2 linked regions of the Astyanax mexicanus genome follow. The protein of the gene in region 1 binds, or shares a complex with, the protein of each later gene. Links are inferred from orthologs where the notes say so. Each region holds a gene or a part of one and is shown in the gene's direction. Other genes may lie near its edges.

The links.
Region 2: the proteins of atp2a1 (region 1) and sarcolipin are in contact, whole or in part, in a crystal structure (PDB 3W5A), measured with the Oryctolagus cuniculus proteins. The link is inferred for Astyanax mexicanus from reciprocal best matches to the Homo sapiens genes ATP2A1 and SLN. Residues at the interface, in XP_069919846.1 of Oryctolagus cuniculus: Phe88, Val89, Leu96, Ala100, Ile103, Val104, Trp107, Arg110, Asn111, Asn114, Arg324, Lys328, Trp794, Leu797, Gly801, Leu802, Thr805, Ala806, Phe809, Trp932, Ser936, Leu939, Leu943, Leu946, Ile947, Val950, Pro952, Leu953, Ile956; in NP_001075856.1 of Oryctolagus cuniculus: Met1, Glu2, Arg3, Ser4, Thr5, Arg6, Glu7, Leu8, Leu10, Asn11, Phe12, Val14, Val15, Thr18, Val19, Leu21, Ile22, Trp23, Leu25, Val26, Tyr29.

Annotation. Positions count from the first base shown.
Region 1 is NC_064426.1:25,695,238-25,711,580, forward strand, and holds the start of atp2a1 (sarcoplasmic/endoplasmic reticulum calcium ATPase 1), read left to right. Parts: upstream 1-9,492; 5' UTR 9,493-9,624; intron 9,625-9,753; 5' UTR 9,754-9,773; coding exon 9,774-9,891; intron 9,892-10,487; coding exon 10,488-10,505; intron 10,506-11,144; coding exon 11,145-11,227; intron 11,228-13,467; coding exon 13,468-13,572; intron 13,573-15,043; coding exon 15,044-15,182; intron 15,183-16,343. UniProt on the Homo sapiens protein: Key regulator of striated muscle performance by acting as the major Ca(2+) ATPase responsible for the reuptake of cytosolic Ca(2+) into the sarcoplasmic reticulum.
Region 2 is NC_064425.1:11,884,509-11,901,276, forward strand, and holds sarcolipin, read left to right. Parts: upstream 1-7,789; 5' UTR 7,790-7,951; intron 7,952-10,483; 5' UTR 10,484-10,574; coding exon 10,575-10,670; 3' UTR 10,671-11,086; downstream 11,087-16,768. Other genes in the region: kbtbd3 (kelch repeat and BTB domain-containing protein 3), read right to left, coding at 15,079-16,533. UniProt on the Homo sapiens protein: Reversibly inhibits the activity of ATP2A1/SERCA1 and ATP2A2/SERCA2 in sarcoplasmic reticulum by decreasing the apparent affinity of the ATPase for Ca(2+). Also inhibits the activity of ATP2A3/SERCA3.

The DNA of each region.
Region 1 (16,343 bases):
AGCTGTCTGCCATGTACTAGAAGAAGTATTGAAAAAAATAATAATAATAATTTAGCTACCTGTGGCTATTTGAAGGACAGGGGCGAAAAAAATTGTGCCCCCACCAGAATAAAAAAATGCCTATTATGCACCATGTATGTTAAAAAATGTCATAGTATTAACGTCACATTACCCAATATAGGCTGGGTTTTACATAGGTGTTTTCACTGTGACTCAGGTAGGCTTCCCAAATTTTACATGTATCTAAGCCTAATTTACAGTGAACAACCCAGATGTCTCTCCTGGGCCCATCACTTACGCTGATGGGGTACATCCCTTACATCCACACATAGCCTTTGCACTGGGTGATGCATTGATATATGTTTTTTTGTTGGAAGGCTCAATTAACCATAATTATTATAGAATAACACAGTGGTTAGTGCATTTTTCATAGTATAAAATTCATTGTATCTGAATATTAACAATAAACACTGCATAATTCACATTGGTCACTCCAATGATTTATTCTAAATAAATAATTTACAGTGAAAACTCTATACCTCATAAGAATTCATTAATTCATTCATCAATTCATTTCTCAATACAGAGCAATTCGTAGTAGTTAAAGAAGTAATGATGTATTTAAATAGCTAAATAGTGAGGGATTTAAGAGGTTCAACTGAAACTTAACATAGAGACTGTGAACATTAACTTAAATTCGGATAAACACATTTTCTTCACATTTATTTTGTTATAAAGTCTGTTCTACCCTGCAACAGTTGCTATGAAAAAGTGTATTTGCAGCGGGGACCGGATTATTTGCATAAAAAACAAGCCAAAACAAAGATGTCATTACTCTGTCATTGACATTAATAGTGCAACCACAAGAGCTGCTTACTGCTGCAACGATGACACAACAAAGCACCTTCCCGACACTGAGTGGTGAAGATGAGGTTTCGACGGTGATGGGATGCTAATTATCGCAGCGGGAGAGGTCAGCGGAGGTCGGCTGCTGAACCTTTTCTGCTTGGGTCAAAACATGTAGAGTTGCTGGGCAACAAAGTTTCTGGGCCTTGTAAGGCTCGGGACTGTAGCAAAGCAAGGGGCTGAAAACCAGCAGGCCTAAAAATAACACACAAAGGGATAGAGAGAGAGAGAGAGAGAGAGAGAGAGAGAGAGAGAGAGAGAGAGAGAGAGAGAGAGATGGCTGTTGAGGCGGGCTTTCTTTGGGATATCCTCTACCCTCTCCTCTTTCAAGAATACCCAAGGACATCCCTCACTATAATTAGCAAGTGTTAGCAACTGTCCCTGTCCCAAATGTTCTTACTGTAAGAGCACCTAACAGTTTTTCTCTCACTTTTCCAACACCTGATTTGTTCACTCACACAACCTGTTAAACCCCCCACCTTCTACAGTACTATCTAGTCTTCCTGTGAATGATCAGTGGACTTCAATGAAGTGATCAGACAAATATCATTAGGCTTATAAGACTTATCCAAGTCTATAGGCTGAGCAGGGGGTGGCTTGTGGGTCTTAAGTCTCAAGTTCTCTAAAGTCACAAACCTTTTTGTAATTTATGGTTGATCCTGTATAATTCATAGTAATTACTCAACAAGTCATAACAGTTACAGTGTCATTTATAGTGGCTAGTAAATATATTTCACATTGGTCACTGTAATGATTCATAGTAACTGGATAATTATAGAAGACATTCATTGTACTATGTTAATAAATCATAAGAGTTAAAGAGTAATTCATGGTAGGCACTATAAAATGTATAATATTTACTAAATAAATTCTTATACAGTACCAGTCAAAAGTGTAGACACACCTCTTCTCGTTCAATATGTTCTCTTTCTTTTCATGATTGTTACATTGTAAATGTAATATTGAAGGCAATAAAGATACACAGGTGCATGTGAAATTATTTTTTAACTAAAAAAAAGTGTTAAACAAACCAGTTTTAAGGACAGATCTGCACAGTCTTGGTATTTTCTAAGTGTCTTTACAGTAATTGTCTGGAATAGTTTTCTAAATTTCTAATTTCTAATAATTGTCATTTAGAGCATTTATTTGCAGAAAATGAAAAATGGCTACAATAACAAAAAAAGACATCAAATAATGCAAAGAAAACAAATTCATATTCATAAAGTTTTAAGAGTTAAGAAATCAATTATTGGAGGAAAAACCCTAGTTTTTAATCTCAGCTGTACAGTTCGGTTTGGTGGCTTGTGATCATCCATCTTCCTCTTGATTATATTCCAGAGGTTTTTAATTTTGTAAAATCAAAAAAAAACTTTGATCTCTTATTTTTGCTGTAATTCCATATGTGTCCCTTAATTGTTTTGATGTCTTTGATATTAATATACAATGTCCTCTGCTAAAAAAAATCCAGCTCAAGACCAACAGCTCATCTAGAAATAAAATAGAGAAAAAAACATACAGCTGGTCATAAAAAATCCCTATGCTGGTCAAAAGGTACTTAACCAACTAGCCAACCAGTATTTTTTACGACAAGCTGGTCTTAAGCTGGAAAACAAATTAAATAAAGAAATTAAGAAAAATACTAAAATAATTTAGTATATGAAAATCTACTGATTTTTTCATCAGGAAAGTTGTGTTATTTGGAATTTAGTCTGTCACCTCAGTCAGCTAGCTTGGTAGCTAAGTTAACTAGCTATGGATACATATATATATATATATATATATATATATATATATATATATATATATATATATATATATATATATATATATATATATTTTTTTTTTTTTTTACAAAAGAAGGCAACCACAGCCCTCAGCCACAGAAAAACATTCAGCTTCAGCAGCTTCAACATCCTGCGATAAAGAGAGTCACCAGTGAGTGGGTAACATGGTTAGCTTAGCATTATTAATAAATAGCTGCAGTTAGCTCACTGGCTAACATCAGAACTCTGGAGCTAGAGCTCTGGTTAGCATTAGCTGAGTTGTACTGTGTACAGTTGCTATATACAGGATGTGACTTTAAAAATCCTAAAAATTACAGTTACGGTGCTGAAACTAGGTCAAACATACATTAAAACAATTATTTAACATTATGAAGTATTAATTTAAACTCATGAAGTTCCTAAGTGACACATACTGAACATCCTGAACATATCACAGGACAGTGTGTAAAACTAGCTCTTTTAAAAGTGTATTTTTTGCTTTGTCAGCTCTGTTTCAACCATTTACCCATTCACACACTTTACTAAAATGTTTTACGTTCTATAGAAGCTGTTCTAAACTAATTTCTAAAACTAATAGAAGTTAAATTAGCAGTTAGGTAGGTAATTGTTGTTGTGTAATTTATGTTAAATTAGAATTTTAATCTTATATAATATCTACAGTCATTTTCCCACAATAATAATAAAAACAAACATTAATGAGCCGCTGACTGAATTTAACTGTTTACATTTTGAACTTCAGAAATGGGTCTGAAGTCTTGTCTTATTATAATCCCTCTATAAACTCTTACCTTACGTAATCAACTTATTTTTAACGGACTGACAGAATATTTTGAGTACATACACAACTGGCCTATTGGTTAGAACACCCCCATATTTTCCATTTTATTTTTGTCATTTAAGTTGTTCTTGAAATGGTACAAAATCCAGTGAACTGTAAAAAGATACAAGTTAGCTAGGGCTTTCAATAAACTTTTAATGAAAATAAATTTACTAAAAACTGAAACAAAATAAAAAAAAATGAAACAAGACATTTTTTAGGAAAGAAGTAATTTGTTTAATGACATAAAGCTGGTATAGATGTATAAAGATGTATAGCCATGTGTTACTGCACTCTCTACTACAGCATATACACAACACTGCACATTCAGATTTTCATCATAATAAGTAGAAAAATACCCAGAAACACAGATAACTGTGTTTTTAACTATTAAAAGTATTCTAAGTATTCTATAAATCAAGTGTAAGCCAGATAGCAGTGAGTACTCTTCCATTAAAAGACTCCTGGAGAAACTTGGAGAAAACTGGTATAGGAAAAGGTCTGGCTGTCCCACATGGCAGTGTTTAATATTGGAAGTCTCAGTTTCAACAGTGAAGAGAAGATTAGGTCTGACAAGTGAAGTGCAGTAATAAAATCATTAATACGATAATAAAACAGCTTGTCTGGATCATGCAGCAGAGCTACTGGACTACTAAACAGTGGGTGTGTTCTAAAACCTTTGACTGGTAGTGTCCAATTAGAAAGATTGTATATACAGTGACCCTATTAACAGGTTTAGTGCAGCATCTGTGATGGATCATCTGTTATCATCATGGAAGTAATGCAAAGAAGAACCCTTAAAATTCCTAATTGTAATTCAAACAATTCATTAAAACTTATACGTCAACAGTTTTTTTTTTAATTATTGCTTAAAGAACCATTTAAAGCACTTTTATTTTAAAGAATGTAGTATGATTCCATGTGTGTATACACGTATATACACGTGTATATATACATGGATCGTACTAGGAATTCTATAATTAAAAGCAATGTGTGCATTCCAGGCTCTCTATATGTGGATGTGTGTGTGTAGGTGTTGTTCACTGCTTGAGATTAGAAGGTCTCGCACTGGAACCTCAAACTCAAAGAACCAAGAATAGGGACAAGGTTGAGACAGTGTTGAAAGTTTAACACCATTCTTGTCTAACAACTGCAACAGGCACACAATCGCACACATCCACACACCACATACACACACTGTCACACATGCACATGCATAGACTGCGCAGCCTTCTTCCAATGTGACTCATGAAGGTCTTTAACTTGAGGGCAGAATCATGGAAGCCCAACCTGGAACATGTTCTTCAAGATCTGCAAAAAGAGACACTATAACTTCTTTCTTCCTAAAAATCACATTTTTGGAGGAATTTTAAAATTGTTCAAAAAATGTTTTTTTTGAACAATCTCAGATTGTATCCCAGGGGCATTTATGGGTAGCACAACCCGGAATCATAAAATTATGTCCACGGTTTCCAAGTTGGTCAGGATCAGTAATGGGACCAGGAAGTGTTAAATATGGACCCTTTCTAGATGCACTGTAATAAAAAACATGACAACGCTTAACGAAACCTTTCCTTCTATATAACTAAATACAAATCCCAAACAAGCCCCACAGCATTATGGGCCATTGTCACGTCCATTGTTAAAACGATACAATATGACAGGATTTTCTATTTTCTGACAGACAGAAAATGAATGTAAAACAGTAACTTTCTGTCAGCTGGGATGATAAATAAAATTTACACATCCTTCCTAAAATAATTATTTGGAAAAATTGGCTTTTTGCCTAAAACATCTCCTTATGATGCTGCATGGTCACCTGTATTAAAATCTTCTACACCCTCAGTAGATCACATCATTTATTTCTACCTCTTTAGGATAATAGCCTATGTAAGGAGTGTGACTTATAATAAATTATGACTTAGGCAAATAGCTTTCCAAGGTGGCAGCTACCTTCACGGAACTAATCGCTACAATTCAGGATTTATCTCCAATAAGTGATAAGATTTTAAAGGCTTTTTAAGGCTTACAGGCTATAAATATTGCAAGGTTGTTTTGTCCTATTATTGACATTTATTGAGGTTTTATTAGTCTGCATTTTAGTCAACAAAATAGCCATATGTCCATAGATGTAAGCTATAAATTCTCTACAATTTGTGACTGTTAAAATGCTAATAATCTTTTCAATCAGTTTTTTTATATTCTTTTATTTGGATTGTTTCTTGTTGGCTCTACTGCTCGACGCTATGATAAACTATCCATTTAAACCATTGTTCATTTTTAAATAGCCATAACAATAATTTTTTTGTGTTTCCTGAAAAGCTTGAACAAAATTACTTCAAAAGTAATTCATGTATTCCACTTCCACAACATTTTTTGTATAAAAGCACATGATACATTTTGAAAAACAGGCTATTCTAGTTATTTTATTATTGTTTTTTTTTAGAGAACAAAATCTGTAAAAAAAATCATCAGTCAAATCATCATCATTAGAGTCTTGGTTGAGCCATCTGATTAATCAAACTAAAGAACACAGTGATGTATAACTACTGTCCATCTCATAATACCCATCTCGTAATTACAGAAGGTCAGTGGAGTCGTGTTTGACATGGTTAACTTTAGACTTTGACTGGTTTAGTCCTCCAGTGTATCGAACTGGTCACTGTGGTCGCCACACTGGGGCTGAGTGTGACACTGGTGCCAAAGCAGAGACACCTGGTGCTGTCTGTGGGGCAAGGGTCAGCCAGAGGGCAAATGGTCAGATGTGAAACGTCATAAGGAGACAAGAATGAAAAACAAAAAATAGCTGAAACATTGCTGTGAAAATAAACAAACAAACAGTTTTTTTTTAAGAAAAAAGGAAATTTGGATATATGAGAAGATGCGAAAGAAAAAAGGAACACCCACAGACTTTCTCGCACATTAAGGCTGGACAAATTCTGTAGACAAAGACACTATGCGAGAACACCTTTGATTTGTTAAAGAAATTATGCGACCTTTTTAAGATTGCAAAGGCAAATTTGGTGTATTAAAAACATTACACCAAAATGAGATGAGAGATCTCTTTCTTACCTAATTGTATTTCTTTGTGTTGCTTCCTAAAACTTTATCATTAAACACATTTTAAAATTAAACAAACAATGGTCTAATCAGTTTGATTTTTACTCTTTAACTTTTTATTTCTTTAACAGAAATAATTTTACATTGTAAAAAAGTCATTTGAAGATTCTGCTGCTCCAGAATACCCTGTCCTCTGTTTATGTATTCAGAATTAATAATAATAGTAATATTAATATAAATATAAATTTATAATTATCTTGTTGCTAATAGGGATGCGCCAATACCACTTTTCTCTTCTGTTAGCAATACTGATGCCAGATTTTCAAGTATCTGCCAGTATCGAGTAGCAATACTGGTATCACAGTATAATAAAAAAGGCTCTTAGTCGTGAATGAGAAATGAGAACGTCGAACACCTCACACCTGGTCTCCTGCAGAGACATGTCTTTCTTTTTTAGTTAAGATAAGTAAGTAAGTAAAGAGCTGTTACAAAAGTACTCAATATGTCTCCAATATGACTTTTGATAAGCAGTGTGTGAACGGTAGAGATGTACACATCAAAGAGAGAGTGTGTGTGTGTGTTTGAATGCACAATGGCATGTATGGAGTGTGTAGGTGGGTGAGTTAACACTAGTCAGTGTGTGTACGTATGTGTGACGGGGGGCTGAAAGCCGATCTTGGGGGATAAATGAGTTAAATGTCATTGAGGTGCACGCTGACAGACCACGCCATGTTGAGGTCATAGTTCAAAGTACAGAACAGCTGCTGCAGCAATGTCTACAGTGTGGAGAAGATAGGAGTGGAAAACCAAAGAAAGAATAAAAGAATTCAAGAAATGAATAAAGAACGAAGAGAAAAAAGTAAAGAAATGAAGAAAGAAAGAATTTAAACAAGAAAGAAAGAAAAAAAGGACAGAGAAAAAGACAAGAGTCTTGTGAAAACTGAACCAAGGAAGAAGAAGAAAACCAACACAAACAAATGAACAAATAGTATAGAAAGAAAAAAAGTGAGGAAAGAAAAAAGAAAGGACACATAAAGGAACAAATATATAAAAAAGAAAGAAAGAAAAAAGGACTGAAGGAATAAAAAACAAAAAGAGAAGATGAAAAAGGAACCAAGGAAAGAAGGACTAAACCAATACAAACTATTAAGCAAAGAATATAGAAAGAGAAAAGAAAGAAAAAGTCATGAAGAAAGGTAGGAAGAAAGAACAGAAGAGGAAAAAAAATACAGATACACATCTAAAGAAAGAAAAGGATCCAGCGAAATCAGAATGACAGAAGGGAGGAATAAACAAATGCAAAAAGTTAAGAAAATAAAAAAAGAAATTAAGAACAGAAAGATAGCAAAAAAGAAAGTAAGGGAGAGAGAGAGAGAAGAGACAGAAATAAATGGATTAATTACACTTAAGTGTTTTGTCATAAAGGAGACGCAATGGAAAGAGTTAGCCTCTCTCGCTCTCTTTGCCTTTAAGACATATGGCTTATGCACAGTTCTAAATGGCACCTTCTCCTTTGATGCCCTACGGCACGTGTGTGTGCATGAGGGGTCTGTGTGTGTGTGTGTGTGTGTGTGTGTGTGTGTGTGTGTGTGTGTGTGTGTGTGTGTGTGTGTGTGTGAGGGTGTTTTGTTTTAAAGAGAGCTGTGAAATCCTCCTGGGACACTTGGTGTCTTCTGTCCACTCATAGGGAAATAAGGGCCCACTTTGCCTTAGTCTGTAATGACACACTTGTATCCTGTGAAGCCCTGTTTATTCCACAGGGTCCATCAAGCTACCTCAATGTGTAAGAGACCCCAGAATCCAGAGGTAACTTTGGGTGCTTTCACATCAACCTTGATTACTCCAGACTAGTCTAGGTCTGAACCAAAACTGCCAAAATCTGATCTGGCCAATAGAAGTGGTTTCACACTCTTGCAAACAATTGTACCAATCACAGATTGTTAAGGCAGGTCGTTGTCACCTATTCAACAACAGGTGATACCTGTATCTAATGTAGCTGTAGATTCATTTACGTCTAAGAATAAAAGGAATCCGATGGAAATCTGTTCTGCTCATCCTGCTGTGTGACGCAGAATTTTGGCAGATTTCAGGTGTGAAATCGCCCTTTGACTTAGAACAGGTTTATAATGGAAGCCAAAGGGAAATTATTACAGACCTTTTAATGTGTATCTCATGTCTCTCTCCCTCTTTATATCTCTTTCTCTCTCCCTCCCTGATACACACTTCACGCTTACACACAGTTTTTCCATGTCTGGTCATTTGGAGTGTTAATCCCCTGAACATAATGTCCTAACTTACATTGAGATTCATTGCCATCTCTTTCTCTCTCTCTCTCTCTCTCTCTCTCTCTCTCTCTCTCTCTCTCTCTCTCTCTCTCTCTCTCGCTTAGCAGAGTTATAGTTAAGTTATAATCTCTATTATTACATCCTATTGTCCTCATATTGAGCCCTGCTGACCCTTCCCTGCCCCAGTACAAGCAATAAGACACTTGACCCATCACTCATAATCCCCACACCACCCAACACTCACACTCTTGAACAAATACACACACACACACAAAAACACACACACATGCTCTCAACACTACAACCCTTCACTCCCTGCCATCCATCCTACACTGACCACCAGCATGTTCCAAAAACAGACACCATTTTCGGTTCAAGGCTGACCCCCTTCCCCCTCAATCCCCCACATACTCACACACACACACACACACACACACACACACACACACACACACACACACACACACACACACACAATGCCACTCACACCCACAGTTGTTGCCCCATTCCCCCATCCAACCACCCCAGGCCCGGCCCCTTATCTCCTTATACGTCCCACCTTATCCAATAGGGGTCCACGTAGGGGTGTGCCTGCAGGCCAGGGGGCTTTGGTGGGTCTTTATAAAATTGTATGGAGATGAGCAACAGTTAGCACTTTCTGTCAGTCCAGGGAGGAGAAGGACAGGAGAGAGAGCCGAGAGAGAGGGGGGAGAGAGGAAGACCGTTGGGGCCAGTGGTTTCGTCCCAAATCCCACTCTTTCAGAAAGTGTCGGTGGGTAATCTGTGTTTTTTGGTGGTGTTTTTTTTTTTGGAATTCTCTGGGTTCCTGAGCTGGGACCTTATTTTTTTCCTTCCGTACTTTACCGCTCATGCTCTCCTGTTGTACGTGTGTTTTGTGAAGTCTCCCCTTAAGCAGAGAGGATGGAGAACGCCCACACTCAGGAGTCGGCTGAATGCCTGGCCTACTTTAGCGTGAACGAGGGCACGGGCCTCTCACCTGAGCAGTTCAAGAAGAACCTGGCCAAGTTTGGCTATAACGGTGAGAGAAGCATGAACTGATCGATGTTGAATGTTAATACAAGGAAAGAAAGTCTGAGCTACTGGAGTCTAGAGTCTATGAGGAAGAAGGAACTCTCAGGCTGGTAAAAAGAGAATAGACAGAGAGCTGGATAGTGGTAATGATGATCCTTTTCCAGCTAAATAATTACCACAAGTTTATTTTATTTATGCCACTAAAAATATGATTGTATCATTTATTTCAATCACATATAGTTGTCTTTAACTACATACGAATAATTTATATATATGATATCAATATACATTGATCTAGATCTAGACATCTGATAGCAGTTCCTTTAAGTGTAATATATATCATGATATAATTGAGCTATATAAGGCAGAAAGGGCCTAGACTAAGGCTTTGTGTCAGATGCAAGGTCAAATTGAAGGACAAACAGTCATTTCTAGGCCCGTCAGCTCTGATTCTTGTAATTCTTGCATACACTGCACTGTATGAAGTCTCTCTGAGACGATGATTATGCTTATGGTACTGTACAGGTAATAATAATAATCTTCTCTGTCTGTTGTTTTGTCCTTTTTTGATTCCACCTTCCTGACTGCATTGACCAATCACAGAGCTGCCTGCTGAAGAAGGTGAGTTAATGAACTCAGCTGACTTATAATTGTTTAAAATACATTGGGCTGCGCCAAGAGGTTTTATCAAGATTATTTTATAAATTTGTATTATCAATTATTATTATAATTATTTTATTGTACCCGCATTTTTCTTCCAATTTTAGCTAAGCCAATTAGCTAAATGTTATTGTGTTAATATCTGCTAAACATAAAAAAATAGACATACTGTTGGGTTATAAATTAAGCTAAATTAACCAATGCTTATTTTTTTGAGCATTCAGTTTATTAAAACAGATTAAAACATATATCCAAAAAGTCTAAGTTTTTTTATGCAATTATATGCCAATACCAATATGATTTAATACACTGCTAATTTGCCAGTGTTAAATCAACACTGTTAGTGCATCCAAAAAAAAAGATGTATGCAAGAACAATGGAGGAACATAGAGTATACTCTATTTGTGTTTCACTGCCTAGACTCAGATTTCAGATTTAAGGCTAAGGTGTGATCCACTTACAGGCGACAACATTTGAAAATGTACTGCACTAATAATACTGCTCAGAACTCAGTGGACATAATTGACATATCACATTACACAAGATCATAAATACAAACTGTTCGTTCTCTCCCTCTCCCTCTCTCTCTCTCTCTACCAGGTAAAACAATCTGGGAGCTGGTGGTGGAGCAGTTTGAGGATCTGTTGGTCAGGATCCTGCTGCTGGCAGCCTGCATTTCTTTTGTAAGTGAATCTGTGTGAATCTCACATGATCAATACAGCAACATACCAATATCCTCCAAAGAACTTTCGTTTTCCTTGTGGCTGTTTGTGGGCGGGACCTGAAGGGGTCATGTGGTTGCAGGTGATGTGCTAAATGTGGGCTTGTGGTGTTCCTGAAAAGAGACAACACTTCAGTTTCACAGTTGGGGGTCACTAATGCTGTTGTGAAGGACAGGGGACACATTCTCAAGCCCTCCTGTCAATCTCTGAGAGAGCCCCTTCACCTTTCAGCCTTGAGTAGTGCACTGTGGGTAAACTGTAAATTCATTTGTGAACCTGAAAGCATGGCGAGCACCAGGAGGTAGTAAAAATCACGACCCAAATAGAAGTCATGCTTTGAGTTCCATGTCCCTCAATCTAACTCGTTAATCACTTTGCATGTAAGGAAAAAATGCAGCATGCAGAAGACTAATTGAATTTTATTCGGATTGTAAAATCAGACAGACATTGGATTTTGGATACAAAGAAAAAATGGTTTGATGTGCAAATACAGCTTTTCTAGTCCCCATGGAGAAGTATTGCTTATAGAATAGGGCTAGAATGCAGAGTTAACATTAAAAAAAGTACAATAGGAAATGCAAATATACAAATAATATTCATTCAAAATAATAATTACAATATAAAATATGAAGAGATCAAATAATAAAGGACAAAGCTGATCACTCAATTCAAGGAGAATAAGAGCAGGAAAAATCATAATATTAAGAAAACTTTTTTCAGTACTGGATTGATGTTGCATTTTATCTGGACATTAGAGACAGTTACTCAAACAAAAAGTAGGATTATACTTTTAAAAAAGGAATTACATTTAAATTACAAAAAAAAATATGAATGAGCAGGTGTCTGAAAACTTTCGTCCATAAAGTTTTAATGCAAAACAGCGGTAAAAAATTGTATTGTGCAAATGTTAACATTATAAAAATCCAACACATACCTCACAACTAGGATATTGTTTACACCTGGTTACAGTATCTGGAATATATTCTAATAGGATTTTAACTAAATGCATTTACACTTGGTGGTCAAAATTGTCTCAACATTTGTTAGACTGAAATCCGATTGAAATGTACAAATTCACTCATTTTGCACAAATTAATACTAGTGTTTTAGTTTACTTGTACTGGGAGAATACTCAAGTGCTTTGAAGTGGTTTGATCAATTATTAAATGCATCTTTGTTGCATTTATACTTGCATTTTATGTAGTTGGGTATTGATGTCAATGCATTTCTACATCAAATTAAAATTAACCCAACCAGACATCCAAAATTAATCACTGTTGGTGGCCAGCTTAAAACAAACAGTTTGACAGTTTCAGACGCTATTAGTGCTTATAAGGCTTGGTCACATGTTTGGCGCATGCTCTAATTTAGCGCTGTGAACGAATGTGAAAGCCATAGAGAGGTTTATTTCATTCTATGGTCTCCTGAGTCTGCTGAAGTGAAACATTTATTTTTGGGCTGTTAATCAGTACGTACATCATTCTACGCTGCACTTATTACTCTCATAACTTCTCCTTTAATGATTGTTTGATTCCTCCTTAATAGCTCCTCTTAATGGCATAAGTATATTCACAGCAAATGCAGCTCATTACTGAAATACTTTATCTGTAATTCTCCCATGAGGTTTTGATATAAAAACACTTCCCATCCATGTCAGGCCTTTAATCCTTCTCCCAGCCACACACACTCTCACACACTCACAGTCATACACTCACACACTCATACACGTGTCCACTTGCAAGGTTGTTTTATAGAGAGTTGAGTTGAGGGGGAGAACATGCAGCATTAGTTCTGCTGTCCTGCGTCGTAATAATTTCGCTATAGCCCTAGAAGGCTAGGCCTGGTGGGAAGAAAAGCAGATGGAGAAAGACAGAAAGAGAGAAAGTAAGTAAGAAAAAAGGAAGAAAGAAAATACGAAGGAAAGAGAGAATGTGTCAGTGTTTTATTAATTGTGTATTCTGTATTTTTATTTTCTCCAACTGGGTAAACATCTCTGCTCATCACATGTTTTTTAAATGACTGGAGCTAACTAAACAATTCAGCCTAATAATTTCAGAACATTTTGTGGGAACATTAGAGAAGATTCAATAAATTCTTCCCTAAAGATCTAAAGTAAATCTAATAGAATTGAATCAAATAAATTTGAGATTTACACCTTTGCTGTACTGTTTTTTTAATATAGTAATTTTTCTGCCCGTCAGGTCCTGGCCTGGTTTGAGGAGGGAGAGGAGACAGTCACTGCCTTTGTTGAGCCTTTTGTCATCCTGCTCATCCTCATCGCCAATGCTGTGGTCGGAGTTTGGCAGGTGAGTTTTTTCACAATGTCAATTACTTTACATTTTACAGCAGAGAAAAGGGTTTTGTTTGACCTACACTTGTAGCCCATGCACAGAACAAGGCCTGTTAAGAAGTTACCAATCTAAGTATTTACACACATCCGATCACAAAACAGCAACACAGAAGAAAAGAAGTAATTCATGGAAACGTTTTGAAGTTAGGGACGAGATGAACAAGCCAATGCCTTAGACTAATAGAATAGAATCATATAAATCACCAGAGTTATATAGTACTGTTAGCTCAGTGAGCTGAGCACAGTTTCTTAAAGGAGAACTCTGGTGTAAAAATTGACTTTTGTTATAGTAAAACATGATAAAGAGTACCAAACTTTGTTGAATAGCCCACCTTTGTTCTACCCAAGCTTTCCGAAATCCAGCTATTTCTTGCAATTTGTCCACAGGCTAGAATGGGTTTTAACGGGGCATAGTTTGCTCCTGCAGATAAATTGCTTTTTACACCATTATCAGGGCTCAAAGTAGCTCCACATCTCATTGTTAGAATCTAAAGAGCCCTGATATTTAAAACGAGGCATTATGAACTTTAAAAGTGAAAAACCACGGTTTACAACCCGTAGCGTTAGCTACATCTCCGGGCACCGCCATCTTAAAGTAATGTCATTAGATGATCATTAGAGTGACAAGCATATAATGTTGCAGCCTGGAAAGGCACAAACACGAAACATTCTACCTTCTGTATGTATACAGCATGTACTTCTGTTAAATTTACGTGCTCATCACTCTGTACTTTAAGATGGCAGCACCCGGAGATGTAGGTTATGCAACGTGTTTTTTAATAAACTTCTTGTGCACTTTTAATGTACTTAATGCCTTAAATGTCAGAGCTCTCTGGATTCTACCAATGAGGTGTGGAAAAAGCGATTTATCTAAAGGGGCAAGAATATGGCAAAATAGCTGTCTCTCGGAAAGGTGTGGGAGAATGGAGGTGAGCTAATCAACAAAGATTAGTACACTTTATCATGTTTTACTACACCAAAAGTCAATATTACACCAGAGTTCTCCTATACATTAAAAGTCTAAATGTTTCAACTGTTCAACTGATACAAAAGCATGGCCTCTTTGATGCCATCTTACCATCTTTGACTTTTGTATAATACATGGGCACAGTACATGGGCAGTGAGATGCTTGGAAAGAGGCTCTCTCTTTGGTGTGCAGCAGAACAGAGCAGTTGGCATTAAATCAGGGGTCGAGGGTTAATCCCAGCAGATCTTTAAGCCCTCCACGGCCTGCAGCAGTGCTTTGCAGAGTGGCCGTATCGTCACGTTGCTCAGGGCTGGTCAGGTTTCAGTAGGGTCCACATTGATACAACAATGCTCACTTGGAAACTATGTGCAGCAGTGGAAGGAGAAGGCCTCTGGGCTGTAAAGAGATGGGAAGAGAAAATAGGATCTGATTGTGGCCTGGCATTTCCTTCCTCCACAGGAGCGCAACGCAGAGAGCGCCATCGAGGCACTGAAGGAGTACGAGCCAGAGATGGGCAAAGTGTACCGCGCCGACCGGAAGAGCGTGCAGAGGATCAAGGCCAGAGAAATCGTTCCTGGAGACATTGTAGAAGTGTCAGGTAGATGCACAATCAGCATTCACACTAAAGCAAAAAGAGAATAAAGCTCAGACTTCTGAATGAGTCAGTAGGATTGACTGACTGATCCAGGCTCTGCCCACAAATATTGACTAATAATGAACTCCATATGTTCAGGAGTGATGTAAATTAAATGATACTGGAATTCTTCTTAAAACCAGTCTAAATATATGATTTTTTAAAACATTGCTATACAAGAATATCATAAGAATATTCCAATTATAAGTAACTTATTTTTACTTGTTTTAAACAGTTTTACCTACTGAAATTGTCTTATTCTACTGCTAGAATACTTTGCCTCTTTTAAGCATAATGTCTTGACAAAAGCGAAATTATCTGTTATGTCTTTAAAAATTAAAAATGATTTACCAATACTATAATAGCCAGTACTTTAAGAGCCAATACTTTAAGAGCCATTACAATTGTGATGCCTGCCTTTTTAAGTCTGGTTAAATCAGATTTTTTTCTATATCAAAACAAACTAAGATCAATATACTGTATCACCACTATGTGTCACAAACAAATTCTTTATATTTCCCCCATTTAAATTTGATAGTTGCTGATAAAACAAACCAATTTAAATTTTCCAAAAGTACTTGGAAAGTTTTTTCTATTATGATGATTTCCATTCTGGAGATACAAGGTTTTTGGCAAGAGAGCAAGGATATACATACATGACCAGAGCAACTATTTAGAAGGTATTTTTTTTATTATTTATAGATATAATGAGCCACCTTCAGTGTGATGTGACGCATCATGATGCCCCATCAAATAAAGATTGAATGGCAAGCATCGGCACCTGCTGCCAGTATGTCTGAAGTGTGGCAAGACACAAGAGTAGAACAAAGCATGTTGGCCAGCTGTCATACTGCCATATGAAGGGAGGGATGGAGGGAGTGAAAGAGAAAGAGAGAGAGAGAGAGAGAGAGAGAGAGAGAATTGTGTGTGAAATGTGTCCTTGAGAAAGAGTGTGAACAGGTATCCTTTTATGGCAATCGCTGTGTGTGTGTGTGTGTGTGTACATGAGAGAGAAAGAGAGAGAGAGAAAGAGAGAGAGAGAATAAAAAGCACAGGGATCACAGAAGGTTGAGAGAACTCATCAAGAGTGCAGGCAAAGGAGTGCTGGTGTATAAATACAGCCCA
Region 2 (16,768 bases), on another chromosome or scaffold:
GACTCAAATCCTGCAGTGTCAGACATGTCCTCCTGCTTAAGCCAGTACCTGAAGTTTCCCAGAGGTCATATGGATGATCCAGAAGGGGATTGGGAGAATATCATATGGTCAGATTAAACCAAAATAGAACTTCAACCTCAACCCCATAAAAAATTGTGGAGGGAGTTGAAAGTCTGTGTTGTCCAGCGAAACCCCCAAAACATCACTGCTCTAGCGAAGATCTGTATGGAGGAATGGGCCAAAATACCAGCTACAGTGTGTGCGAATCTGGTGACCCACAGGAAACATTTGACCTCTTTCATTGCCAACAAAGAACTTTTGTTATTGAACAAATTTACAAACAAATTCTTTAAAAATCCTACAATGTGATTTCCTGGATATTTTTTAAATTTTGTCCCTTATAGTACCTAGGATAAAACTACAGACCTCTCTCCTCTTTCTAAGTGGGGGAACTTGCATACTCAGAGGCTGACTAAATACTTTTTGCTCCACTGTATATAGTTTATTGTGGCTTTGTGGTGTCATCAGAAAAAAAAAAACATGTAAATGTCGATTAGCGTCACCTCAAAAGTTTTATGAAAACTTTTTGTTCGCATTTTTAGGATTTGTAATTGCTACAATTGAGACTGAGAAAATTTATTCTGCAAAATTTCATTTACAATCTCAGTGTGTCTGGGTTTGTTTGGTGCTCAGAAACTCTAAAACTCTGATCCTAGAATCAACCCCTGCTGTATATTATGAACACGTAATCTAGCAATGTAATGTTTTAATATATTAATCACCCTCTTTTACTTTTAGCTCAATCTCAACATTGGATTTGAACCCTCACACATGTATATGCAGAAACTGCAGAGTATGGTCTGGTCACTTGATCCACAAACAAAGGTGATACAACACATTTAACACAAGTGTGCATTGAATGGGCTTTCCGTATATATGGATATATTTAGGCTGTGTGGTTTGGTAGATCATAATACATTGGTAGCAGCAGATGAGAGCTTGTTTACTATAAAATGGGAGTTGTGCACCTATATTTCATAACTAAGACTTAACGTTAACTCCAAAGCAATGGAGTCTGTAGGATGATGTGCTGAATAAATGTTTAACTAATACTAATATACTAATGATAACTCAGTATCAGGGTCCAGAAAAACATGCTATAAATAAAATCAAAAATACTGTTGTAAAACACTCATATAAATTTAATGACTGTAGATGTAGTTGTTTACTGGCAGAATTCAAGATGACCCAGATTTGAGCATGTGATCATCTGAAAGTGGAACATCTCAACAAAAACTGATGTGTGAGTAATGATTAATGAAACATACCAGTCGTGCTTATTTTTTTTATAAATGTTCCATAAACTTAAAAAACACTTTTATTGTGGTCATTTCTGCCTCTGCAGTGCCCAGGCCCCCAGCTTTCCCCTTCCAAAACGTGCCACCGGAAGTGTTTGGCAGTTGTAACATCTGGTATTTCTTCTTTTGCATTGTTTACCACACCAAACTGACCATTACTCTCCTATTAACATCCTCTAGTTACGAATGAATGAATTAATGAATGAAGTTAGACTTATTATAGCGCTTTTTTACATACCCAAGGATGGTTTAGAGTCATGATTTACACACAACCATTTATACCCATCCACACACACACTGTTATGAAGCAGCAGCCAATCATGCACAACTTACTCCCAAATGGAAAAAACCTTAAACCTGGAGGACTGCATCCAGCACTGAGATTTTAGAATATGCAATTAACCTGATCTCCATGTTTTTAGACTTTAGAGCGTGACAGAGGAAATCCACTCACATACAAGAACATGGAAACTCCACCCAGATAGGAACTTGAACCCAAGATCCCAGTACTGGGAAGCAGATGTGCTAACAACTAACCACTGTGCCGCCAAGTTATCACTTTTTCCAGAAATTGCAATCCCATATATGCAATCCCTATATAACCCTATATAAGGTCCTGTGAGCAATGGACAGCAGGCTAAGGTGAGGATTTTATCATTTGCCATAAGAAAAGACTGCAGCAATTCACACTCTTCCAAAGAGCTCTGATGGTGTTAAGAGGAGCAAATTTCTAACTGACCCTAAGAAGCAGGCATGTGAAAATTTACCAGCTATGCAAAAGGTTACATTGCTCTGCAAAAGAATCTCCCGGCACACGAGCAAGCTCTTCCCTGCTTGCGCCATCCCTCACATTTATCTGACCCCTGATGACCCCTGCTGTCAGCTTATCAATCACATTCCTCTTTTCAATGTTTCTGGCTGAAAGAAAGCCGATCAGGCCGCACTAAAGACTGTTCAGCTGTCATCCAGGGTCAAATACTGACAGCCAACAGAAGCCTCCTCTGCTTTATAGATATAGGGCCTGGCGCCATGACAGTGCTGCAGGCTTATGAAAATCCTCAGCTGCTGTCTTACAGCATAATCGTTCCAACCGTCCATAGCACAAACCCCAAAAACTGAAGAATCTCATGCATTGCTGATGATGTTAGATATACAGGAGATTCTTTTCCAAAGAATTTTTTAATTCCATCAACTTTTATCAGCAATTATTCAAATGATCAATAAACACAAGTGACCCAGTTACACTGGCATCCACATACTGTATGTTATGCCCATGCCATAACCCTCCACCATGTTTGACAGACCATTAAGTGCTTTTGAGATCGTCAGGGTCTTTCCCAAGAAATATCTACGTATTTAAAGTAATTTAAAGATTTTTTCTTCTCATACTATTATTTTATCTTAATATTATTTTAAGATGAACTTCTTTATTATATTAAAATTAATTACAATATTTGTAACCACAACACCTGTTATTAGCCTCCAGCTTTTACTAATTGTAGATACTGTAACACTAGCCTATATAACAGTTCCAAAATGAGACAGTGTACAACATAAGCAGGGCAATAATGCAGAGAATTTAATTAATCTTATAATATTCCTATAATTATCTAATGATGATGAGTTTTTCACATAGACCGGGGCAATATATCTTGACTAGGGCTGCAAATAATGACTATTTTAGTAGTCGACTTATCTGATTATTTGTTTGAGTTGTCGATTATTTTTTGTCATGCCCTCCATTTTATCTCCTATTGGTAAGGACAGCTAAACATTTAGGCCCCAAGAACAATTTTGCAGTACATTTTGATAGATTTACTTGCTTATATTTAATATGAAAAAAAAAAATTAAAGCATAGATGGGATTTGGACAGAGACACAAAAATTACATCTCTGAAGAATTATCTTAATAATAAGAATTATAATTATCTTAATAATTATATTTCATTATAAAGTTTATAGTAGAGAGTGTCTTTTATAATTATTTTTTAACTAAATACCTTACTTTTGCAATTAGGTCAATTAGGTCAAACAAGACACTATGCTTAATAATAAAATGTATTGTAAAGTTATTTTGTGAGCACATTTATACATGTAATTTCCTGTGGACAGTAATGGCACTCATTCAGTGGAATGGCCCATAAACTGTATATTATGTCTTTAAATGTCATGATATATTATATTTTACCATTTTGCCAAACAGTGCATAATTATGTACACAACAGGTGGTGCCTTTAATACTGTTCATATTAATATCAGAATTATATTGTGTTTTTACCAAAATGACGAAATATCGTAAATCATAATATGAAATTAGGGCAAGATGATGTGGCCAAAAATCTAAAAATATGGCCAAAAATAAATCCAAGGCAAAGGGTAATAGTAGGATAGAGGAGGAAAAGAGGGGGGAGCAGGAAATGAGGATAGAAGTAGTTAGTTTGTTAGAGGTGTTAGGAGAGTAAGTGCTCTTTGAAGAGCTCTGTCTTCAGGAGTTTAAAGATTGTTGCCACTGGAGGAGCGCAGCGGCTGGGACATAGACAGTGAGTGCAGGTAGGAGGGAGCTGCTCTGTGATCACCTTGTAGAAAATCGTAAGGGCTTTGAATTTAATGTGAGCTGCAACTGGTAACCAATGGAGCTCAGTGAGCAGTGGGGAGATATGTGCCCATTGGCTTTGGTTGGTGAGCTGCTGCCTTCTGGACTATCTGAAGTGTTTTTTTTACACAGGCCGGAAGGCCCATTTGCACTGCATTGCAGTAGTTGAGGTGTGAGATGGCTTGTATCAAGAGTTGGGTGGCCTGTTGTCAAATTTGTCTCATTTTGTTTAGCGCAAAGTTGCAAGACCGAAGAAACTGAGGAAACATGATGTGTAAAGGAGTGATGATCATCGACCATAACACCCAGGTTCCTATAGCAACCTTTTTTTGGGGAGAGTGAGAGTAAGTCAATGGTTGGTGATAATAGGAAGTATTGTTGAATGGATTGTTTAGCTGGAAGAACCAGTAGTACAGTCTTGGATAGGTTTAGTTGAAAATGGTGTTTAAATTTACCTATTCAATGTATGTAGGTAACAGGTCAAGGTTATCGGAACCTGAAGATGTTTTGCCACTTTTCTCAAGGGGCTTAATCAGGATTATACCAGATTTTTTAAAGTCCAAAACCACCTTCACAGACACCCAGCACTGGTCACATCTCTGATACAAACTGATACACCACTTTTCAGTTGTGGACTAATGTTACAGAAAGCATCTGCCAGATGCCCGTGCCAGCCTAGCCTGCTGATGTGAGATTAATGTGAGGTAAGAGGATCGCTGTTGTTGCCAGGGCACATCGGTATGTGTTGTGCATGTTAATTACCAAACACTAAGAGGGATGCTAAAGCTAAAATCTTTAAATACTCTGTGAGTGTATATTACATATAATGTGTGTTTATACATAAAAGTACATAAAGGCATTTCGTTTTTTATTGCATCTAAACAAGAGTTAACCTTGTGTTAGTGTTATCTCGAGTTGGTTCACTGGTGCAGACCCTTATTCATCCTCTGCACCAACACCAGGAGGATGAACAATGCTTTCAGTGGAAGCGCCACAACGAAATTCCACTTATTTAAACAAAACCCTCCCAACCAAACAACATAAAACTCTCCAAATAAAACAAAAAAAAAATGTAGAGCAATTCCAAGAATTCAAAACACTATTTGAGATGGTTTTAAATGCATATCTCGTGTTAGGAAAAATGAAATATGAGTGTGGGGTGTTGTCTTTGGCTGTTGAATGTAACTAATAAAGTAACTAAGTTACTTTTTAAAGAAGTAATCAGAAATCAGATAAGTATTTCAAGATAACTTTGCAATCACTGATCGATAATGTATCAATATTTTGTGCAACCCGTTATCAGAAACAGTTTCTTTTTTAGTTACACATTATCCTACAAAACACCTCCCATTTCTGAAATCAAAACTGCACACACACACAACCACAACATTCTCTTTTAGAATTGGAGGTAAGACAAGTTATCCAGTTCTTTCATGGACAGATTTGGACATATATCTTCTATCCCCTTAAAAGGCCAACAATACTAACACCAGTCCCTATACACATTCTTTCAATAAAACCCTGAAATTCTGCACCTTTTCTGTGTTTTTTCTTCTTTATAAACATGTACTTCATCCTGTTGATCCTCCAGCAATCAGCGATTGGAGCTGTGAAGTCTATTTCCATTGCTTATCTGGGTTAATAATGTTAACAGCTGTTCGGGACACAGCAGAAATTCTAGTGGGGCTGATAGACCTTCTGGATCATTCCACAGCCTACACATCACCAGCACCGTCGCTCCAGAGACACAGTTACACTCCTCCACAGCTCACGAGGGGCTATGGGAGGGGTTTTACTCCTCTGGTTCATGTCTGGTATTAGATATGTTGCCAGTAGTTTCATGTTTATCTGCTCCAGTTTTATTCTATTGGCAAAACTTCTGTAGAGGGACTAGACAAGCTGTATGTGTACAAGCTGTATTGCACATCTGTGTCATCAATAGGTACAAATTAAGGCAGTAAATGACATGTCTCTCCAAACCATCACTGATTGTGGAAACTTCACACTAGACCTCAAGCAGTTTGGACTGTGTGTCTCTCCACTCTTCCTCCAGACTCTGATCCCTTGATTTCCAATCGAAATGCAAAATTGACTGATGATCAGTGATGGTTTGGAGAGACATGTCTGTCATCTGCTGGTGTTGGTGCACTGTGTTATATAAAGTCTAAAGTCAGTGCAGTGTTTTCCCAGCAAATCTTACAGAACTTCATGCTTTCCTCTGCTGACAACTTTTATGGAGGTGCAGATTTCATTTTCCAGCAGGACTTGACACACTGCCCACACTGCCAAAAGTACCAAATGGATTCATTTTTTCCACCCAGGAATAGTACTGCATTCAACTTCTGTTTTAAAGTACAATAAAGTTCATCTAAGTCCATCCTACTGCAAGTCACATGGAAGAAGCGTGCAAAATGCCAGAACTGAATAACATGCGTCTCATATATGAGACTGGGGATCCCCAGTCTAATCCAGAAACAATGGAGGTCTCCGGTTCCACAGGGAACATTCCAGAAAGCAGCCTACAGTAAATCGTCAGTCGAAATCCTTTTATGATCCCAAAAATCCAGAAAATCACCAAAAACAGCTGAGTCAACATGTGCTTTAGGTATAGATATACTTGCATTTATGCTCTTGTGAAGACCTCACACTGAAATCTGAGGATTTCCTGCAGTCTCCTCTGGAGATCCTCTCAAGCTGTCAGTGTGGATGGGGACCACAGAAAAGGTTTTTCTTTTTGCTTTAGTCTGTTTTTAATGTGTTTTGGCCATTTTGGATGGTATTGACACACGGATTCTTCTTTACACGATCCAGCTTTAACCTGCAATTTGTGGTTTACAGAAAGGTGTGAACTGTGTTCACAGACAGTGGATGATTTCTGGAAGTGTTTCTGAGCCCATGCAGTGATTTCCAGTACAGAATCAGTACAGTCTGTATTTAATGAAGTGCCATCTGAGTGCCTGAAGATCACCAGCATCCAGTACTGACTGACCATCAGCCTTGGCTTTCATTTAGTCTGTGTTTATGGTAGTAGGTATTTTTTTTTAGAATATCATGTTCTCTTCTCACTCAAAGATACTGCTACTGCTGCTTTACAGCATAGATTTTGATATTATACAGCTCAGTTATTATACTTCAGATTCTGAATCATAACGGCCAACATTAACAATAAAAATATTGTCATTTAGAACATTTATTTGCAGAAAATGAGAAATGGCTGAAATAGCAAAAAAATGCAGAGCTTTCAGACCTCAAATAATGCAATGAAAACAAGTTCATATTCATTAAGTTTCAAGAGTTCATAAATCAATATTAGGTAAAATAAACCAAGTTTTTAATCACATTTTTCCTGCATCTTGGCATGTTCTCCTCCACCAGTCTTATACACACTGCTTTTGGATAACTTTATGGTGCAAAAATTCAAGCAGTTCAGTTTGGTTTGATGGCTTGTGATCTTCCATCTTCCTCTTGATTATACTCCAGAGGTATTCAATTTGGCAAAAGTAAATAAACTCACCATTCTTGAGTGGTCTCTTATTTCCAGAGCTGTAAATTTATCTCAACTGTAGCAACAAAAGCATACTTTAGACTTTTTTTTTTACTTAAAATATAATGTGTTGCATGTATTAAGGTAAAACTGATTTTTTTTCACAAATCAACGCAAGATGTTTCCACCTTTCCTGAGCACATGAGGTCCTCACAATGTGGCAAATACATGCCAATACACACACACACACACACACACACACAGTTTTATTCCCCTGGACAGTGGTCTTAGATAACTGCCCTGCCCTGGCCGGTGACATCACAGCAGGGCTGTATAAAGGCCTTGTTTGGGAGGTGCACCTTTGCAGGGTCACTTCAGGCAAAGAAAAATTTGAGGGGGGCCTGAAAAATCCATTGAGAGAGACAGAGAGGGAGAAAGAGAGAGAAGAGGCAAAGAACGAGAGTGAACGAGGGGGAGATACTGTCTGCGGCTGGGGAAGTTCCTGCAGGTGTGCAGGTAAGAAGGAAATAAATAAAGAGATTATTAGGTATAATTGCATACTATCATGTAAACTGTAAATGTATAGAAACCAGACCACATTGCTGGTAACTCTGATGATCTTATTCTGTATAACAAAGGGAACTCTTGCTCTTCCTTTCCTGGGGCAGTCCTGATGAGAGCTTTATAAAGTATTTTTTTTTACTTAGTTGAGTAGGTCTTGCCATAATATGTATTAGAACATTACTCAAATAGAGCTATTCACTGTACACCAACTCTACCTCTTCACAACTTTAAAACTGATGCTCTCAAACCATGCTCTCAAAGAGTCAAGAAATTCAAGTAATTAACTAAGAGCACAGCTGTTAACTGAAAGCCTGAAATTCCAGGTGACTCTACCTCATAAAGCTGACTGAGAAAATCCAGCCAAGATGTGCAAAACTGTCATCTAAGCAAGAGGAGCTACCTCTAAAATATAAAACATATTAACATCCTTTTTTGTTGTTTACTAAATAATTGAATATGCTTTTATTTATAGTTTGCATAAGTTTGGTATTAATCCAAAATGCAGGACATTTTAAAATAATGATGAAAAAAAAAACTGAATTTAAAGTGTGTGCAAACGTTTGACTGGTACTGTATAATTCAGATAAATTATTTGAAATAGATTAAAAACAGGATAAAAGCTTAAGTGAGCAGAATGGAATTAATATAATTGCACTCTAAAGAAACAGATAAACATCTAATAATAAGTAGCCAAATAAATAAACTTATAATATTTGTAAAATGTAAAATATATATATAAATAAATAAAATAAAAACATGACAGTAAAATAAAACAAATATTGTACTGAGAACTGCATTTAAACAGTAAATATCTTATGGCTGTATATGATGCACTGTGCTTTATAAGTGACGTGCATTGTATCTGCAGTGTCGTAGTTACAATAACAACCAAATTCTCACTCCTGCCAATCGAAAAAACATAAGAAAGGGTGTTGTGGCACGTTAGGAACCGGAGTCAATCTTTGCTCAAGAGTGACTCAGCAGGATGTATCACTATTTAAAGAAACATCTCAGTAATGACCTAAATAGCTGCCTCGTGTGGGCCATCCCAAAAGCAACTGCAGACGTTTTAGTCTAGGAATAAACAATGATGACTATGTCTAACATTTACAACAAGTTTCAGAGTTCCAGCTGTTTAAATCACTTGTTTTTACTGATTGTCTAAATTATTTAGGCTCATTATATCTAGAAATGAAGTACTAATGAAGTAAAACAATGGTTTACTTGTTTCTGTTTACCTCATCCCTTATCAACAGCAGAGAGGTTCTGGGTGGTGTTCAGCAGTGTTTATGTAAGGGTGGGCTGTAGCCAGAGAGCTGTCAGTATGGGGGGATTGTAGCCGCAGTTGAGCAGATGAAAGATGAGAATTTGAAACTCAGAGACAACAGGTGGGTTTAAACCTGGACGTGACTTTCAGAGCGCTTATTAATCCAGCGTGTGTGTGTGTGTGTGTCTAACTGTGGAAACATTTTAAACCCCGCGGAATGTAAACACGGAGAAAAAATAATAATTTATTGAGTAAATTACATTAAATAATGTTGATAAATGTTTTTTTTTGGTGGACACCTGGAATTGAAATGTGGAAAACAACAAAAAAAAGTTCATCAAACAAGCCTGATTTTGACCCAAATACTCTGAACACTGGTCAGTGTCCTGCATGTTCCAACACCCTGATTGCCGAGTATAATATGTCAGTCAGCCTGAGCAAAATGTGTCAACACCCCGGTTGCAAAGTATAGTATTGAAATTGCCCTGGACTTTTGCAAACACACAGGTTGCTAAGGTCAGAGTTCTCAAGTCTCACGCTTTGAGTGTGTGACACACGCACCTCAGCGAGTTCACACGCTCACATGCCACACATGGTATTTCTCACGCTTGCCAATCCATCGGCTGTATATTATAATGTACTCTCGCTGAGCCAATCAGAATATAGATTGCTCTGTTGTTAGGCAGACCTAGTCAAAGAGGGTGGAGTTTCAGCCAGAGTGTCAGGTGTGAAGAACTGTCCGATTCGAAAGTTCTGAAACACACGTCGGTGAACAACCGAAAGAGAACGTCGGCAACGTTTTTTATTGTTTGCACATTGTAAATGAACATATGTATTTTTTAGTTATTATTTTTGTTAGTGAACCTTTCTGAAGTTTAGTGATTACCTGTTCAGGAGAAAACTAGCCAGCTGGCCTGTATCCATGGCTGCAGCACACTGATTGCGTGCTGTTGTGTTCTTTACCTGCCAACCCGGGTTGTGAAAATTGGACTTCGGAAATGGCGGTGGGCAGATTTGGAGCCTCAAGCTACAGAAATTACCATGACATACTAGCATACTCAAAATGTTTCCTTAAAATCTGTTGAGAAGTCCTGATCATTTTATGAGCTTCTACCGAAAATATAATGTTTATTTGGTCCTTTAAATTGACACTTACTTTATATTTCTTTCTTTCTTTCTTTCTTTTTCTTTCTTTCTTTCTTTCTTTCTCGTTATAGTGGACTGCACAACAAATCCCTTTCTTCTAATCTCCCATCAACATCCCTCACAGATTTCTCTTAATCAGTACCTCTGTCCTGACTGCGAGAGATGGACCGGTCTGTACAGGAGCTTTTTCTGAACTTTATGATCGTCCTGATCACAGTGATGCTCATGTGGCTGCTGGTCAGATCCTACCAGGAGTAAAGGAAATGAGCGAGCGATGGGCTCTAGCTGCTTAGCACTGCTCTTGCGATGTATGTCTGGGAGGAAAGCATGCGGCACTGCCACCCCCACCCGATCAACAGATGGCGATACTTGGTTTGGAAGCGAGAGAGAGAGAAAAGACCTTTGGCTGACTGCTCAACAACACAAGACATCGGCTTCAGAATGTAGTGGTTAAAAATATAAAGAGAAGAATGATGATATGGATCTTAACTTTTTGTTTTGGCTGCTTTGGTGTACTTGTTTTTGGCTTTGGTTTATCACAGCACTGAGCACATGTTAACTGCAGTCACTGCCAGATTGCTTTAACATTGCAGTTTAGGTAATGTTTAGGTATCTGGACATTTGGACGTGCTCAGACAAAAATGAAATAAAGAAATAAACAGTATTGTCTGTGACTCAAAGAGTCTTGACTATTTTTTTTTACATAGATAAAGCTGTAAACCTTTGCACAAGACTAATAAATAAACACAAGACTCAAACTACAGTCAAGGCCAAAGGATCAGACTTTTGGACCAATTACCAACGGTGTCCAAAGTATTCCCATTCACTCCTCTGGTAAACGCATTGATACAAGAGTTTAAAACACGTCTGTAGAAGTTGAAGCATCAAATCAAGCTTTTTACTCCTAATATAAAAGTGTTAAAGTACTGGTTGCAAAACTAAACTTAACTTAAAAGTATAAAAGTAATGCAAGTAATAGTAATACAAATTCCATTAAGGACATAATCTTAGGCAGTGCCACAGAGTCCTATAGTGCACTACCCGCCCTCCCCAAAACACATTTCTCTAAAAGCCATAATATTGACTATAATGTTATATTAAAATGTCAAAGTTGATAAATTTGGGATGCACTAGGCTCCCTGTTTTAGCTGCATAAATGTCCAATGTCCACAAAAATGAATGTATTTTAGTAAAGTAAATATATTAAACAAGCTTAGTTAGACGTTTGGCTCGAGTCTCTACACGGATCATCTTCATACTAGACTACATACATCTGCTATGTTCTTGCTGGAGTGTGGGTGTGACGTGTGCAGGCGTGATGGATCACAGTATAAATCAATAGGGTGTTGTAATGGTACATTTTTATACTTCTCTACATCCAACCACAATCAGATTCACTCCATCTGGGTGGACAACAAATAACAAGGCTATTTTTAAAAAGTAAGTAGGAGAAAGTTCTCTTTTTTTGTTGTTGTTGTGCTGCTATATGTAGTGCTTGTACACTTTTAAAATTATACAAGTTGAAGCACCTTAAGCTTCCTTGGAAATTCCTCAAATCACCTTAATTCTATTTCTCAAACTTTAAACGAAATTGTATCACCAATGATCAAACAAAAACGTTTAAGTAGCACCTACTGGGGCTTCTGTGCGGGCCTTACCTAATTTACAATCTGCAAAATCTGCAGTATGCCTACTGAGACAGAGGGAAATAACAGGAGTGTGGGGGAATAGGGAGTAGTGGACTACAGAGTCTACATGGCACCCCTTTAAACCTTAGCTTAATTATTTTGCTATTATTACTAATACAGACACTATGGTGAATCCTGGAGTTCCACAGGATACAACTGTAGGGACTCTTACACTGTAAATAACTGAAGTGTAAGTTTATATACAGTATCTACCAGAGTGAACACTGAACACAAAGAAAAGTAAACAATTAAAGGAAAAAAACTGATTTCAATCTGAGGCCATCTGGTGTACCACCCTAAAATGCAGTGGTTCTCCAAAATACCACAGTTGGAGAAGCACTCCCTGAAGGGATTCCTCCAATGTATCAAAACTGAAGTAACCCTAAAAGTCCAGATGACTTACTCCTAAAGCTTTGCTTGCCATTGTTGCCACAGTGCTTAATCAAAAGAGGCTTATACTATCAATTTAGTTAGCCTACCAGTTTAGTTACTTAGCTAGTTAATCAAACAGGCCTGAATATATATCAGCTACCGTGTATTTAACTACCCTAAATGCTTGGTAGGCCCAACATTACTCTGGATAAGATGTTGTTTTCACAAGGTGTCAAGAGACAAAACACATGTATTACAGGGCCAAAGATATGTGGAGACCTACTCACCCCAGCGTTCCTTCCGAAATCAAGCCCTGGATCACAACACATCCAACTGGATGGAGCTCCCTCATTCCAGAGATTGCAGTTCTACTGCCCCACAGTGGAAGCTCTGGGGCTTCAACCTCTACAGCCGAGGGTTATTGTTGGGAATAATAATGGTGGAGCTCTACCAAAGCATCCAGTTTTATAGACATAGTCTTTACTATATTAATGGTGGATGCACCTTAAGTTATTTAATAATAAGAAGCTTTTCCAACAAATGTTTGGACATACAGTGCACAACATGAACAGCAACACAAACAGCAGCTCTGTATGGTATTTTATTTCAGTGAGAAATAAAAAAGTTTAACAACAGCAGTTTTCGGTTTATTCATTTTTATTATGCATGGATGCAGGTGCAGATTTACACTCACTGTCTAAAAAAAGGGAACATTTAATGCCCCTAAAAGCTCTCTTACAGATTTTATTGCCACTAAAATGGTCAGAAATGAACTGCCTCATATCTATGGCAGAGTTCTTCAGTCCTGGTCATGGAGCCCACCATCCTAAAACATTTTAGTGGTTTCCCTGCTTTAACACATTCACCACAATTCAAAAAGGGCTTTATATGAAATGATTGGCTCAATCAAGTGTGTTTGGAGAAGCGAAAGCAACACATTTGAAGGATAAGGTGGCTCCAGGCCCAGAACTGTGTTTGGAATTGCTCTACTTATTTTATCTTATTTACTATATAGCCATTGCTATATATAGTCATTATATATATATATATATATATATATATATATATATATATATATATATATATATATATGTGTGTGTGTGTGTGTGTGTGTGTGTGTGTATTATTAGTTATACAGTGATATTGTGCACACCCCAATGTAGGGTTTAATTAACCAACCTAGAGGATTGTAGGTCAGTATGCTACCAATGAACCAATAGATCTAAGTGCAGCTGTGTGAGTGAGTGCAAGGTGCAAGGTGGGAAATAAAGGAGAAACTTCACAAAAGAAATGCCACATGGCATGTTCAAACAAAGAAGAACATGGATCTAAAGACCAGGATGTTTAATTTAACATAAAAAACAGCTTTTTTTGTTTGTCTTTGGTAGACTCTGTGTTCTCTTTTTGTTCTCAATGTCTTGTCTTGTCTTGTCTTGTCTTGGCTTGTCAGCGCTGATTGCTGCTGAGGATTCTGGGGTTTGGAGTATTTTGCCCCATACCCACCAGTTCTACCACTCTGCTGCTTACTTGCTTGCCCTCTGCTGGTGACTGGTGGTATAGGCTGCCTTCTTAAGTTGTAGTCTTATATGCAATGGTATCCACACCCAACTTTTGTACTTATGGCTATGTAGCATATAAATTACATTTTACTCAAGTTACATTAAAGACATTAAAGTGCTTTACATAAAGTGCTTTTTCATTACAGCTTCATACCTATTATTTAATAGCTGTGAAGGTGCACAAACTTGCCTTAGTTGCCTTATTTTTTAAATATAGTTTTTTTTATTTAAGTAATTTAATTAACGTGTACATGTGGACTTGGGTAATCATAAACTGGTTCCTTTCATGAATCAGGAAATAATCAGATTTTTGCTTTGCAACAAGCCATTGAACCCACAGAATAAGACCTTAAAACTTAATGCTGCAGCTCTTTTCTTACACAATGGGCTACAATAAGATCTTACATCAGCTAAATTGGTTTTAGCATTGCTCTCAAAGTAATTTGTCCTAATCCTTTGGGTGCTATATTAAACAATGATCCTTTATTTCTGCTACCAGGGTCTATTTTCACTCATGCACAGACTGAGAAATCACAGAATACTCTGGTTAAGGTTTACATGCACTGTGATACCTGATTACTGAGCTAAAATCCAATTCATTTAATCAGATTTTTAAAATCTAGTTTATAGATATTTCAATCTAAGAAATCTGACTATGTGGTTTATATGACCACTGCAGAAAATCTATTATAAAGTGCATGTATAAGCATTCATTGATTTCATTGATGGTTTAGCCACTCAGGAACCCAAACTATTCTAAGTACTGTGTGTGTGTATATATCTATATTTATGCTGTTTTTGGTTTGTATTCCAAAAACATTACACATCTGGCCTCCCCGATCTTTTACAAAGCCTTTTCTTAGCAAGGGAGGTTAGTGTTTTCATTTGAATAAAAAACATATTGTTGTCATGACCTAGAATTTATGTTATGTAGGCTACGTGTTTAAGTATGTGTGTGCAAAACATGCATGCTTTTCCTGTTATTAGGATTGTAGTGCTTGATCGATTGTAGTCTTCTATGCGACCAGATAATATTCCTGACTTTGTTCACAGTGTTTCAGTTGGCTCTGACCTCCAGGGGTCTCTATAGCGGTTGAAGCTGAGTGCCTGGCAGTGGAACTCAGTGAGAGCCCTGGGCATGGATGCCACCTCCTCCCACTCGGAGCGTCCACTGTGATATACCTGCACCTCGTCTGTGACCTCGTCTGGAGAGTAGTCGCTACCCAGGATGTAGATCCTGTCCCGCACACCTATGGCCCCGGCATTAAAGCCAGCACACTCGAACGAGCCCTCCCCCTTCCACACGCAAGTTTCGGGGCAGAAGCTGTACACTTTGTAGGTGGACAGGTCACACAGGTACAGGGTTTTGTTAATGGCCACGGCCTTGACGAGAGTGGCATGGAAGAACTGTCCAAATTCAGCCACTAGCTGGCACCACTGGTCAGCGATTGCATCGTAGCGAAAGAAGCAGTCCAGTGATGGGTTGAAGGCTTCGGACATCTCCAGCTCTGAGCCAAGAGCGTAGACTATGCTTCCACATGCAGCTACCTCTGGAAAGTAGATCCGTCGTGGTAGAGGACTGACTGACTTCCAGGAACGCAGCAGTGGGTCGTAGTACTCTACATCTGGAAGGCTTTGGACATTGTGAGAGGGTCCACAAGTTTTTCCACCGATCACGTAGAGACGCCTCAATGTACAGACCGAAGCATGCATCGTACGGTCTTTTCTCATGGCTGGGGCTTGGACTAAGCTACCCGTGACAGGACAGTAGCACCAGACCTCGTTCGTAGCTTCATGATGAGGTTCTGCAATATGCAGTCGCACAGTCCGGCAACAGTTTCCCCGACAGCCTCCGGTCACAAACAGCTTCTCTGCAAAGCCAGCCAGAGATGAGCCTGGCAAGTCAGCAAGTCTTGCAGCATCCTGGGGCAGCTCGCGCCAACGGTCAGCTTCCACATCGTAGCAGAAAGCATGGCGGGTCAAGCCATCTTCTTCTGTCTTGTGCACATAGATGTAGCTGGAAGTAGTGGACGGACGAGCATCTGGAAAGAGGCCACTAAACTTCTTTGCCTGTTCAAATGCTTCCTTTATCTTTTGGGAACACTGTTGGTCATTTAAAAGCAGATGCTCGGACCGGCTCACCTCCTCCAGGAGAGCAGGAGGAAGCTGGTGGAGTCTAACATGGGTGAGAAACTCTGGAAGCATTTGGCTTCGTTTTAGCGGGTCATGTTTTATCCACCGAAGCAGGGAACGCAGCGCACTCTCCTCATCCGGGATGCTGAGGGAATCAGCAGACAGGCAGCGCTCCAGTACCTGAGCCGGCATCTCCAGAAAGTCTGAGCTGCAGGAGAGCATGTAGAAATGAGCCATGACAAACTCAGTGGAGCGACGCAGGAGGTGAGGTGATCCATAGCCTTCAGCAATGGCCAGGAGGTGAAGGCAATTAGAAAGATGCAGGGTTTGGATCAAGAAGTCGCTGCAAGCACGAGAGAGTGTGCCCACCTGTAAACATATGTTAGATACCAGAGGTGTCATGTTACAAAGTATAAATACTTTATTACTTAAATAGAAATGTTGGTTATCTAAACTTTCCACTCCTTACATTTTAAAAATAGTCTTTTTAGTTCTATTCCATTTCATCCTTCAAAAAACCCTATACAGATAAATCTCTCCATCCAGATAGAGTGAATCTGATTGTGGCTGGATGAGAAGTATAAACATATACTATTCCTTCACC